3 linked regions of the Caenorhabditis elegans genome follow. The protein of the gene in region 3 interacts with the protein of the main gene of each other region in a pairwise test. Each region holds a gene or a part of one and is shown on either strand. Other genes may lie near its edges.

Region 1 (3,487 bases), on a different chromosome or scaffold from region 3:
GATCTAGGAAATCGAATAATAATGAAATTTCATATTGCTCTCATGTGTGTGTTTGTGTATTTTTGCTGTGAGCATTGAGAAAATGGGAAGAAACAAAAAAAAAATGAAGAGGAGGTCTTTTTGAAGGACCCCAGTGATGCCAAGAGTCAGTGAATCCAATTAGAATGCCCTCGAGAACATGAAAAGAGGTCCAAAAAATAAACAAATGGTACCGACTTCTGGAGACCCTAATTTGAGAGTGAAATCCTTTTTGCGTATTTTTTGCCTTTAATTCGGAATTTCATCAGTTTTGTTTACCCCCACAGCACAACCGCGTTTTTTTTCAATACCAAAATTACAAAACGCGAATTGCAAATTCAATCATATTTTTTTAAGACTTAAAAATTCTTTTAAAAATTTTCCTCGCAACTGAAATGTAAAAAAACCACCCAACGAAAAAAGTAACGTTTAAATTAGATTCTCGGAGAATGCTTTGATTGGGTGTTTGCATTTGGCGCCGCCAAGGTGTCAACATAACCATTTGCACCTGCCATTATTCCGTAAAAGCTAAGGACAACACAAATTTATTATTATTATTATTATTGGGATAAATATTACTAATTTTAGTAATAAGTTAAGTAGCTGGGTGCCAAAAATAAATAAGAATCAACTGAATTTAACATCTGTCAGCCTTTGAGGACTTTCTCTTGATTCCGAGAGCACGGTTAGCATCATCGATTCTGAGGTTTTGGAGGGAACGACGCTTACGTCCTCCTCCTCCGCATCCACAGCATCCACATCCACATCCACATCCACAACAGCATGGACGACAGCAAGTGCAGCATCTGGTGCAGCAGCAAGTTCTACAGCAGGTACAGCAACGGCGACAGCAGCAGCAGCATCTAGAAGTTTCAGTTAAAGCTTACTATATATTAATAAAATTAAACTATATAATAAAATTGAATTTCCATTTTTAAAAATTCCATGATATGCTCAATCTGGTAAAATTTTTTATAGCTTCAAGTATTTCCAAAACTGGGTACCTTGGTCTACAACAGCAGCATCCACATCCACCACCTCCTCCTCCGCATCCACAACATCCACATCCACAACCGCAGCACCCACATCCTCCTTGTCTTTTCACTCTTGAGCTAGAATTTCCTAGAGTGTCGATGGCAGTTGAAGCTGTTGAAACATCAGTTCCAACAGTTGCCAACTCAGTCGATGATACTGGAAGAACCGCAGATTGAACCTGGAAATATTGAAAAATTGAGAAGATATTAAGTAATTGAAAAATAATTCTCACTTGAGAAACCGCAATAAAAGTTCCGATGGCAAGGAGAATCGCAAGAGTGGAAGTAGTCATTATAAGATTAGGAGTTAATGAGAATGATGTGAGTTTCCAAAGTTCTTCCTCACTTTTATACAGGCTTCATTGCCATTCCGGAAGGGATATTGGCCAACATGTTGCGTAATCGTAATCACTCGCGGAAAACTGTCAAAATGTCTCGATCAATTCAAACAATTTGCATGTTGCTCAACTTTGCTACCCACTGGTGATGGTTGATCACTTGGATCTTGACTGGAATTTAGTTTATTTGAAATGAACTTTCTTAGGTAGGAACATCAACAACTATTGCTTCCATCTTTCTCTTTTTAAACTGATGTTCGGCTTCTTTCTTCCATTTTAGTCTAAAAAGATACCCCATCTCAACCTCAAATCGCAGACTTACAAAAAAATGAAATCACTTTGTACAATAGTTAGCTGATCAAATCACTCAAAGATAGCTCTTGTTTCCGTGCAAAAAAAACTGTGTTTTCATTCATCAACTACTTGTGTCTTCGCACCTTTACTCGTTTGTTTCCGTCAAGTACTCATCTATTTTTATCATATTTACCGCCCACAGGTACATTTTTTGCACATTTGGTGACTCGCCGGAGGTCACACTTTTGTTTTTGGAATGGATATATGACAAGGAGACAGAAGACACAAAAAAATGAATGAAGTGCCAGTGATAGTGAAATGGAGATGATACGTAAAAATGTATGCCAACATAAAATGTATGCCAACTCCGACATACTTAATTGGCAATGATGATGATGTCTCATAATTGATACATTCCGATTGAGGACCGGGACGTCACAATGCCAGTCTTCTATGTTTTTTCTAGGATACGCCCTGACTTGAATGTAGTAGAAGCTCTCAGACAATTATGTTTGCGTATCTTGTTGACAGTTGATCATTTCGGAATATTCAAGCCCTTTGATCAGCAGCCGATCAGTAAACAAAACAAAACACAGCAAAATGATAGAGCTGGGTCATCGAAAATCGCTTATCACTATGTAATACTACTATTGGTTTGTTAAATTGACATTGATCGTTGGTGAGATGTGTTGTGATAAGAAAAGAAAAACAACACTTGTAAAATGGGGATGTTGGTTGATGTCTCTGAGATTCTTGCAAAAAATGTTTATGTTTATGTTGTAACTGTATTGTTGGAATATATTACAAATCTGGAAGATTTCAAAAAAGAATATTCGGAAAAATTGTTTTTAAAATTAAAGGTGGAGTAGCAAAGTTTTGGGACTTTTTCCATTAGACTAAAAATGGGCTACAAAGACTGAAAATTCAATTCTCGTGGGGCATTTTAAATCTAATGAAGCATAATGACTGAAAAAGTACATCACGGTACAATGTACAATGAACATACTTTTTATCAAATGTTCTAAAATCAGTCCGATACTGTAATTTTCATTGTCTTTCTAACAATGAAAATCTGCAACATTCATAAACATGTTATTCTTTTTCTTTTTTAAAAATTTGATAGGTGCAATCATTGATTTGATGAACTCGTTGTAAATATCATAAAAACTGGATATAAAATATGATAAGAAAATGATTTTTATTTGAGAAACTCTTCTTATGTCTTCTTCTTATGCTAGAATATAGTGTTGTTGATATGTAAACTTTTGATTGAATCTTTAATATTATCATCTCATAAACAGGGCTATAAAAGTTCAAAAATATTCGTGATTCCCATAAAATAAATGTTATCAAAATGGGAGTTCGATGTGCACACTCGTGACTTTCAAGAACACAATATTTGATTCAGATCAACTAGAAGTAGAACATTAGTGAAGAACTCGAACTAAATGAGAAACCTAAACTTTTATCTTAACTAGACAAATAAACTGATAGTGATCATGAAAATATTCCCCGAAATTCAAAAATTCTTCCTGTGACACACTCTTCACTTTTTCCCACACTAAACATGTATTTCAAAGACATTCCTGTTCGCGTTCCCGCCATTGTTTTTTGTAAATCCATGACTTGACAAAAAACAGTGCCTTGAGCAAACTTCCGCTGACGTCCGAAATGTGCCAAGTGTTCTTTGTGCTTTACGTTTCATATTTTCTTTGACGAACGTAGAATTTTACTAGAAAATTGGTTCAAAAAGCAAATAAATTTTAATATTAAGGATGAGGATATTTCAGTTCATTTGGCACA
Region 2 (3,756 bases), on a different chromosome or scaffold from region 3:
TTCTCTATTTTGAATACAAAACTAATGAGAAAATACAAAACTAATGAGTGTTTAATTTCACAAATCCAATTAAAAAAAAACTCACTCATAACTGACAGGTTGATACCATTTGGTGTGATGATGATCATAGGCAAACGACATGGACTCATATCCATGAAGCTTGAGCTCCGGTGGAAAAATGAGCTCTTGAGTTGGATCGTATGGTTTGCAGTCCGACATGTCACTCAGTTGGATTTTCTGAAATATTTTCATGTAATTTTTAATTTTTAATTTGTAAATTTCAAAGTAAAACCTACTCGTTTTCTTTCTCCGCCAGTGTATCCCGGTGTAGTTTCATCGGAGCCTCCGCATGCAGTTTTCTTAACTTTACAGCAATTTTCTCCCATTCCACAGCCATTTTCTTCGGTGACCTGGATAATTCGACAGTTTTTTTAGGGAAAATTACTAGAAAATGTCGGGCGCTCAAAAAACTATTGAAAAAACAAGTTTTCCGAAAAAAAAAAAGATTTAAGAGTGCTCTCCTGTTTCATTTTACTTTTTAAGTTTTGATGTGGAACATATCTAGTTACTTTTTTTTATGATACGGCAATATTGAGTGTTAAAGACAACCTTCTAGCTTTTCTTGAGCATCCGACATTTCCCGGTTCCCAACTTACCTTCAAAGTTCCACTTTCATCAACTGCAAAGCTATAGAATGCTTCAAGAATCGGACGATAACCCGTACAACGGCACAGGTTTCCTTGTAGACCCAAATTAATATCGGATATTGTAGGATTTGGATTGTTACGCAACAAAGCATACATTGCCATGACGAATCCAGGTGTGCAGAATCCACATTGGGAGCCGTGAGCTCTGGAAGCAAAACAGTTGAAGAATGGATTAGGATTATTTTGATTACAACAATAAAATGTATTATCTCAGGTTTTTAAAAGGATCCCTTGAAACAGAAGATTTTTAAAATTTCAACAACAAAAAATTGACTGTTTCTACAAGTGTTCTTAATAACTGAACATTGCTAAAAATTATTCCATAAGTTTTCCCGACAATACGAAAAATTCAACTCACTTGGCAAGTCTCTCCTGAACTGGATGAAGCCGATTCTTGGCGACACTTCCAATACCCTCCACAGTAGTTACGGCTTTTCCAAAAACTCCACAAACTGGCATAAGACAGGAGTTAGCGGAGAAATGTCTGGAACAATTAGGCTTTAAAAAATACATTCTCAAAAATTGTACTGTTTCAAGTTGGCGTTATTACCAATTCCTATTTTAAACTCCTAATACGTTCAGATAAGTAGTTCCTTACCATTTTTAAACTTCTTTTTAATTTCAAATACTTTTTTACAACGATGCAAGATATCAATTCAAGAAAAAACCCCTTAAAAGTGATGAGAATCAATATCGGCTCTGCTGAAAGAACATCTGACAAAAACCCTTGCAAAATGCAATGGAAAGCACAATGCAAAACAAATTTGTTAATAATTGTTGAAACCGAAAATATATTTTCTTACTATACTTACTATTAAAAAATAAACATTCATGCCCAACTCACTTGATTTCACCATTTTCAATATGACTAATCATTATCGTACAGGCACCACATCCTCCCTCATTGCATCCAATTTTTGTTCCGGTGAGCTTCACTTAAAATAAAATAAACTCGTAAATTTTTAGCTATTTGGGATTATATATTTACGATTTCTAGATAGCTTGTTTTGAATCAAATTCTTTTTTCGAATTTCAGATCAATTCATGCACATCACGTTTGTAAACTAGAAACACGTATATATTGCCTAGTGGAAACAGCAATTTTTTTTCCAAAAATCGAAGAACTCACATTTATCTCTCAAGTAGGTTGCCAGTGTCATTTTTGGGTCAACATCCTTTTCCTCGACGCGTTTTCCGTTTACGTAGAACACCAAGTTTGTGGCATCATACGATGAAATTTCGGTTACTTCTTTCTTCATTTTCTACTGTAATTTGGCATTTATTGGATGTTAATTCTAGAGAAGGGGTGAAACACTCTTCGAAGAAGTGAGATTAAAAAAAAAGAAGTCAAATTAAAATAATTCTGAAACTGCAACTTTTTGAATATTCGAAGTTAATTTAAACCGTCCATCAAAGTGTAATATGTTCTGGCAGTTATTGTTACTTGATGAAACATTGGAAATTTCTAAAAAATATTTTTTTGATAAAAATTTCTGCAAATGTTCGTTTTTCTGTGAATTTTGTCAAAAATTAAATCAGAAGTTCAACAAAAATACTGATAAAGGTGACATTTCACAGCGGCTGCACCAATCTTGATACTGAAAAAAAATTGAATTTCAATTTCAATGTATTAAAAAAAATGCCGAACCACTAAAATTTTACAAACTCACTTTTTTAAAACATACTCTCTAAAACAGTCGAAGTTTTTTTTTTAATTTTTTCACATTAGGTATGCAATCGGTTTAAAAATTTAAATTTACCTTGAACAAAAATAGTTTTTAATCTAAAAATAAATGTTAGTTTTCAAAATATTATCTACTAAAAAGTGCAAAACTCAACGAAACGGAGAGTTTTTGCACTAGAAACAGTAAAATGAATAAATTCAAAGTGTTATCGGCACAGTTTGAGCGGCGGTCATGTATATCGAATTGTCATGCATGGCGGGTTACCACGTGATTCGGGAATTGAGAGGTTTTTATAATATCAAAAATCGGCAGAGTTGACACTTTGGAACTTTAGATTATTAATTATGTTTATCAGTTTTTGGTTTTATTTGTTTTGATGATAATAATGTGATCTATGAGTCAGAATGTTTTGTATTTTTATGTTTTTGTCTTTTCGTGTCAGTATTCCATTAAAATATATTGTTAAACAATTAAAAAATTTCGCTGAAACAGAAAATGTTTTTTTTTTCGTTACTATTTCAATTTCTCAATAGATTCCTTTTCTGCTTCAATTTCTCCACAGAAATTTTTTTTCCAAAAAAAAATTATGGTCAAAAGTTCCATATTTAAAACCTAATACATTTTATAAAAATTCAGAACAAATAATGCCAATGGAAAACAGTGAAATTTAAAAATTACCAAAAATTTGAATTTTTATTAGAAATTCATAATTTTCATGAATTTATCTCTAATGAAATTTAGAAAATTGAAAATTTTCACTGTTCCAGTTTATCATTTTAAAAAAGTGTTAAAAATGTTTCCAAATTTCTTTTGATAAAAAATTACAGTTCCAAAATTTCTAGAAAGTTGCAATATTTGAAATGGCAAGTTTATTAAGACAAGTTTAATAAGTTACAGAAGAAAATAATATCAAACGAAATTTTTTTAAAAATTGTGACAAACAAAAAATCGGAAAAATTCTGGAAACCCGATTATTACAGAGTTTCAATATGAACCTTTTAATTCCACTATCTTAAAAATCAAATCACGTTGTGTGTGTCTGCGTCTCTTCACTTTCTTCACTCTCTCCTAATTTTCTTATCTTATCACTTATCGTCTAAAAGAAGAGTACATCGTGCAGTTTTTGTTTCCTTATCTCCCACACTAGGCTCTTGAGCTTGAATTGATTGACGCATTGAAACATAATTTTTAGAATATTTTTTGAAAAAGTATAATAAAATTAATATTCATTTAAGCTATATATTGTTATAATGTTAGTAAAACAGTAATAAAAATGGCAAAAGTTCAAAAATTGAGTGAGAGAGAAGAAGATAGACAACGCGGAATGAAGAATTGACTGAGTACAAAAATTGAAAAATGTTTTT
Region 3 (3,756 bases):
CGCAGAAAAATCCAATTTGAAATCGATGTGTTAACGCGCTCCACTGCTAATTCAAAAGGCTCCGCTTTCGAGCCAAAAGTGTTGTTTAAAAAATTCCGATTTTTCGGTTTTTTTCTAGAAGGAAAGTGAAATTTTTCGATTTTTTTTAAGAGAAAAAAGAAAATTTTCCATTTTTCGGTTTTTTCTAGTAGGAAATTGAAATTTTTCGATTTTTTTAGACAAAACTGAAAATTTCCGCTTTTTTTTGTCAGTTTTTTCACAAAAAACATTGAAAACTTTCGATTTATTTTTTTTCAATTTTTCGAGTTTTTTTCAGAGAAAAAATCGAAAAACGAACAAATTCATAATTTTTTCAATAATAAATCTTTAGGAGAAACAATATAGCTTTTTTTAAAGTTTGATGAGAAAAATAAAATAATTTTTCTCCAATAAATTGAAAAATGACAGGAAAATATTGGAAATTCGATTTTTTTTTTCTCGAAAAATTACGCTTGCACGCATAATGGGCCTCGTTAGCTATTTGGCGGCAAAACCGTAAGTTCAAAATTTGCTAATTTTTTATTGAATTTTTCGGCTTTTTTAGTTGTTTCCATTGATTTTCATGCCAAAATTAATTTAAAAAAAAAGGCAAAACTAAGTGAAAAATTCGAATTTATGATTTCACCGGCAAGTACCTAACGAGACCCATGGTTCGGGGCATTTATTTGCCGTGGAGCGCGTTTATAATAAAATAGGCATTTTACGAACGACGAACATTTTGATCGATATTCTCAAGAATCGTCTCAATATTCTTGTGCTGTCTGATCAGCTCAACAGCCTTCTTAGGCCCGACGCCTCGAATAGTTCCACAATAGTCACAGCCGAGAAGAATACACAAATCAATAAATTCCTCAACGCTTAGCTTCATTTCTTCGAGAGCCAAAGAAAGATTGAACTCCTTGATCGGGATTTTCTTGGCGACTGGAGCCAGGAAATGTCTGAGAAGAACCGTGGAGCCGAAGGTCAGCGCGTCCATATCCTCAGTGACAGTTCCGAATACTTTTCCAGCTTTCACGAGATGAGCACACTGAGCTTCTGCCTCGCATGGAGCCTCGACAACTGGAATTCCCATTAATCCCAGCAAACGCTTCGCCTCGTCGTTCTGTTGTTTTGTGACTTTTACGAGTCTTCTCTCGAACTTCTCCGCTTCCTTAACATCTCCCTTCTCCTTGGCCTCAGTCAGCGCTTTTTCTGCTTCAGCACGACGCTCGGAACGTTTTTCAAGCTCTCCACCCTTCATATCCGGTGGTTTTCCGTCGAAAACGTAGACAGGCTTCACTCCGTTCTCGAACATTCGAACCGTACGATTCAGCATTCCCATCAAGTGACTTGTGGTTTCTCCATCTTCACTTTGAAGCTGGGAACCATCTTGACGAACAGCAATGAGGAATTGGTAGAGGCACATTGATGCGTCGATTGCTACCTGAAAAAAAAACATTTTTTTTTGTTTTTTTGCTTGTAAAGACTCAAAACTCGTCGAAATTTAAGACATTTACCCGGAAATTTCTTCAAAATGTTCAAAATTATGTAAAAATGAGCCAATTTTAGAGCTGAAAATCTTCAAATTTTTCTGATTTATCGCGTCGAACCGATAAATCATTAATCAACAAAATAGCAGGAGATAAACGACTAAAATATTTTAAAATATGAAAATCAGACTGCGGCGCACAGAAAAGTAGACGAAATTGGAGATTTTCGCTTTAAAAAATTATTTTTTCGAATTTTTGAACCTTCAATTTTGCAAATCTAAGGAAAAAATTCCCGTACTGTTCTTCCGAAGAACGCCTTCATCTCGTTGACTTTAATCGCGGAGGGAGCATTATCAGCAATCACTTGGGAGAGTCCTTTAATTCCCATAGCGGTGTGGGGTTAGTCCTTGTGAATTTATATCTGAAATATTCTGAAATTGGGAAGTTTGTGGATTTTTGAGTGGAAAACGGGGGTAGGAAACGAATTACAGCGAATTTCGAAAAAAAAACACGATTTTCCTTTTTGTTCTCCAATTAAATAGGGTTTTTTAGGTTTTACCGAACGATATCAGTCAAATTCATGAAATTTCACCGAATTTATACGGATTTCGCCGCACTTTCCTGACGTAAAAAACGAAAAACCCCCGATATTCTCCAAGATTTCGAGAAAATAAGATGAGTATGAGATTGCGAAACGATAAATTAACAATTCTAATATATTTTTCGTTTAAAATTGATTAAAAACAATAAAATATTTGCTTAAAATTGTGTTTCTCACTATAAAAAACCCCAAGAAAGGATAAAAAATATCGGAGCTGCGTTCAATTTGGCGGGAAAACGGTGCGTTCAATTAGTTGTCCATGGAGCGCGATTGCGTAATCATTATTTGGACACTTTTTTCCTTGAAAAAACCGATTTTCTGAACCAATTGGTTAAATCTGAAGCTAATAACGAATAAAAGGGTTAAATTTAAGGGAAAATCAATAAATAAATTCATATATTTAACAATGATATTCAAAAATTGAGAGAAAAACAACAAAAACAACAAAAAAAGTGTCCGGAGATTCTTTAAATATCATCGGCATCCAAATTATCATCGCTACCGCCGTCCCCATATCCTTCTCCATTATCAAAGTAAGCCGAGATGTAATCGTTATCCTCCTCCTGATTGTCATCATCTGATAATGGATTCTCCTCCTCTTCTGCCGCGGATTTTTCACTGCCAGAGTCTTTCTGAAATTAAGATATGATTTTTTTCCAATTATTTTCATTAAAATGTAGTGATTTATCTGAAAATAGCTCCTATTTTAGTTGAAACAATTGAAAAACCACTCAAAAATCGTCTGAAAATTAGAAATTTCCAACTTTCGAACATTTTTTGAGCAGTTTTCCAAATGTTTCAACTAAAATTAAATTTTATTTTCAGAAATAAAGGGACGAGAAAACTCTAGATTCATCAAAAGATATGCCAATTTTGATGAGAAAATATTTTTTTTTTGCAATTCATGAGGAATAACCCGAAATTATTGAAAATTTGATTATTTTTCTCGAAAAAACGAAAAATTTCGATTTTTAGTTTTCTCGTCATTTTCCGTGCATTTCTTCTACTTATTTACTTCGATTTTTCTGAAAATTATTTTTCGATTTTTTCTGAAAAAAAAGTGCTAAAAAATGCCCTGTCCCATATAAAATGTCAAAAATCTGAAATTAAAATATCTATTACATCATTATCAGCCTTCTCATCGTCATCATCATCATCCTTATTCTGTGCTTCTTTTTCTTCCAATTTTTTCAACTTCTCCTTGATCATCGAATCGTCATTGGCGACTTTTCGTCGTTTTGCCAAAGATTCCTTGGATTTCGAGCTAGCTCGGCGCCAAATGAGCTCATTCGGCATATGGGACATATCTAAAATGGATTTTATGAATTTGAAAAGGTTAAAAAATCGCCTTAAATTCAGAAAAAGCGCTACAGAAAATAGAAAAATTCAATCTTTTTTTGGCTAATTTCCTCGAACTCTCCGACCAATCAGCATCTTCCAACTCCGCCCATTCCATCTGATTGGTTGAAAAATGGGCGGAGCAAATCGCTGATTGGCCGCTCTTCTCATTTAGCCAAAAAGTTGAATTTTCAAATTTTTTTTTTGTTTTTTCTGAAATTGAGACACAATTTCACCTAGATTTCCGTACCAATGCTAAGCTTTTCCCTCTTAATATTCGAATATTTATCCAAATAACGCTTAATTTCG

The links.
Region 1: the proteins of crn-1 (region 3) and idpb-4 interact in a two-hybrid assay, tested with the Caenorhabditis elegans proteins (one large-scale study listed by BioGRID).
Region 2: the proteins of crn-1 (region 3) and xdh-1 interact in a two-hybrid assay, tested with the Caenorhabditis elegans proteins (one large-scale study listed by BioGRID).

Annotation. Positions count from the first base shown.
Region 1 is NC_003280.10:8,736,179-8,739,665, forward strand, and holds idpb-4 (Intrinsically Disordered Protein, class B), read right to left. Parts: upstream 1,379-3,487; 5' UTR 1,346-1,378; coding exon 1,286-1,345; intron 1,232-1,285; coding exon 1,023-1,231; intron 882-1,022; coding exon 656-881; 3' UTR 548-655; downstream 1-547.
Region 2 is NC_003282.8:14,410,921-14,414,676, forward strand, and holds the start of xdh-1 (xanthine dehydrogenase), read right to left. Parts: upstream 1,975-3,756; 5' UTR 1,967-1,974; coding exon 1,837-1,966; intron 1,759-1,836; exon of another isoform or gene 1,738-1,758; intron 1,643-1,737; coding exon 1,552-1,642; intron 1,447-1,551; exon of another isoform or gene 1,426-1,446; intron 1,371-1,425; exon of another isoform or gene 1,350-1,370; intron 1,307-1,349; exon of another isoform or gene 1,281-1,306; intron 1,192-1,280; coding exon 1,066-1,191; intron 1,048-1,065; exon of another isoform or gene 1,027-1,047; intron 903-1,026; exon of another isoform or gene 882-902; intron 853-881; coding exon 657-852; intron 591-656; exon of another isoform or gene 570-590; intron 411-569; coding exon 297-410; intron 238-296; coding exon 86-237; intron 20-85; exon of another isoform or gene 1-19.
Region 3 is NC_003279.8:3,480,170-3,483,925, reverse strand, and holds the start of crn-1 (Flap endonuclease 1), read right to left. Parts: upstream 1,930-3,756; 5' UTR 1,897-1,929; coding exon 1,807-1,896; intron 1,463-1,806; coding exon 755-1,462; intron 1-754. Other genes in the region: Y47G6A.9 (DNA-directed RNA polymerase III subunit), read right to left, coding at 2,577-2,741, 3,232-3,416, 3,698-3,756. UniProt on the Caenorhabditis elegans protein: Structure-specific nuclease with 5'-flap endonuclease and 5'-3' exonuclease activities involved in DNA replication and repair.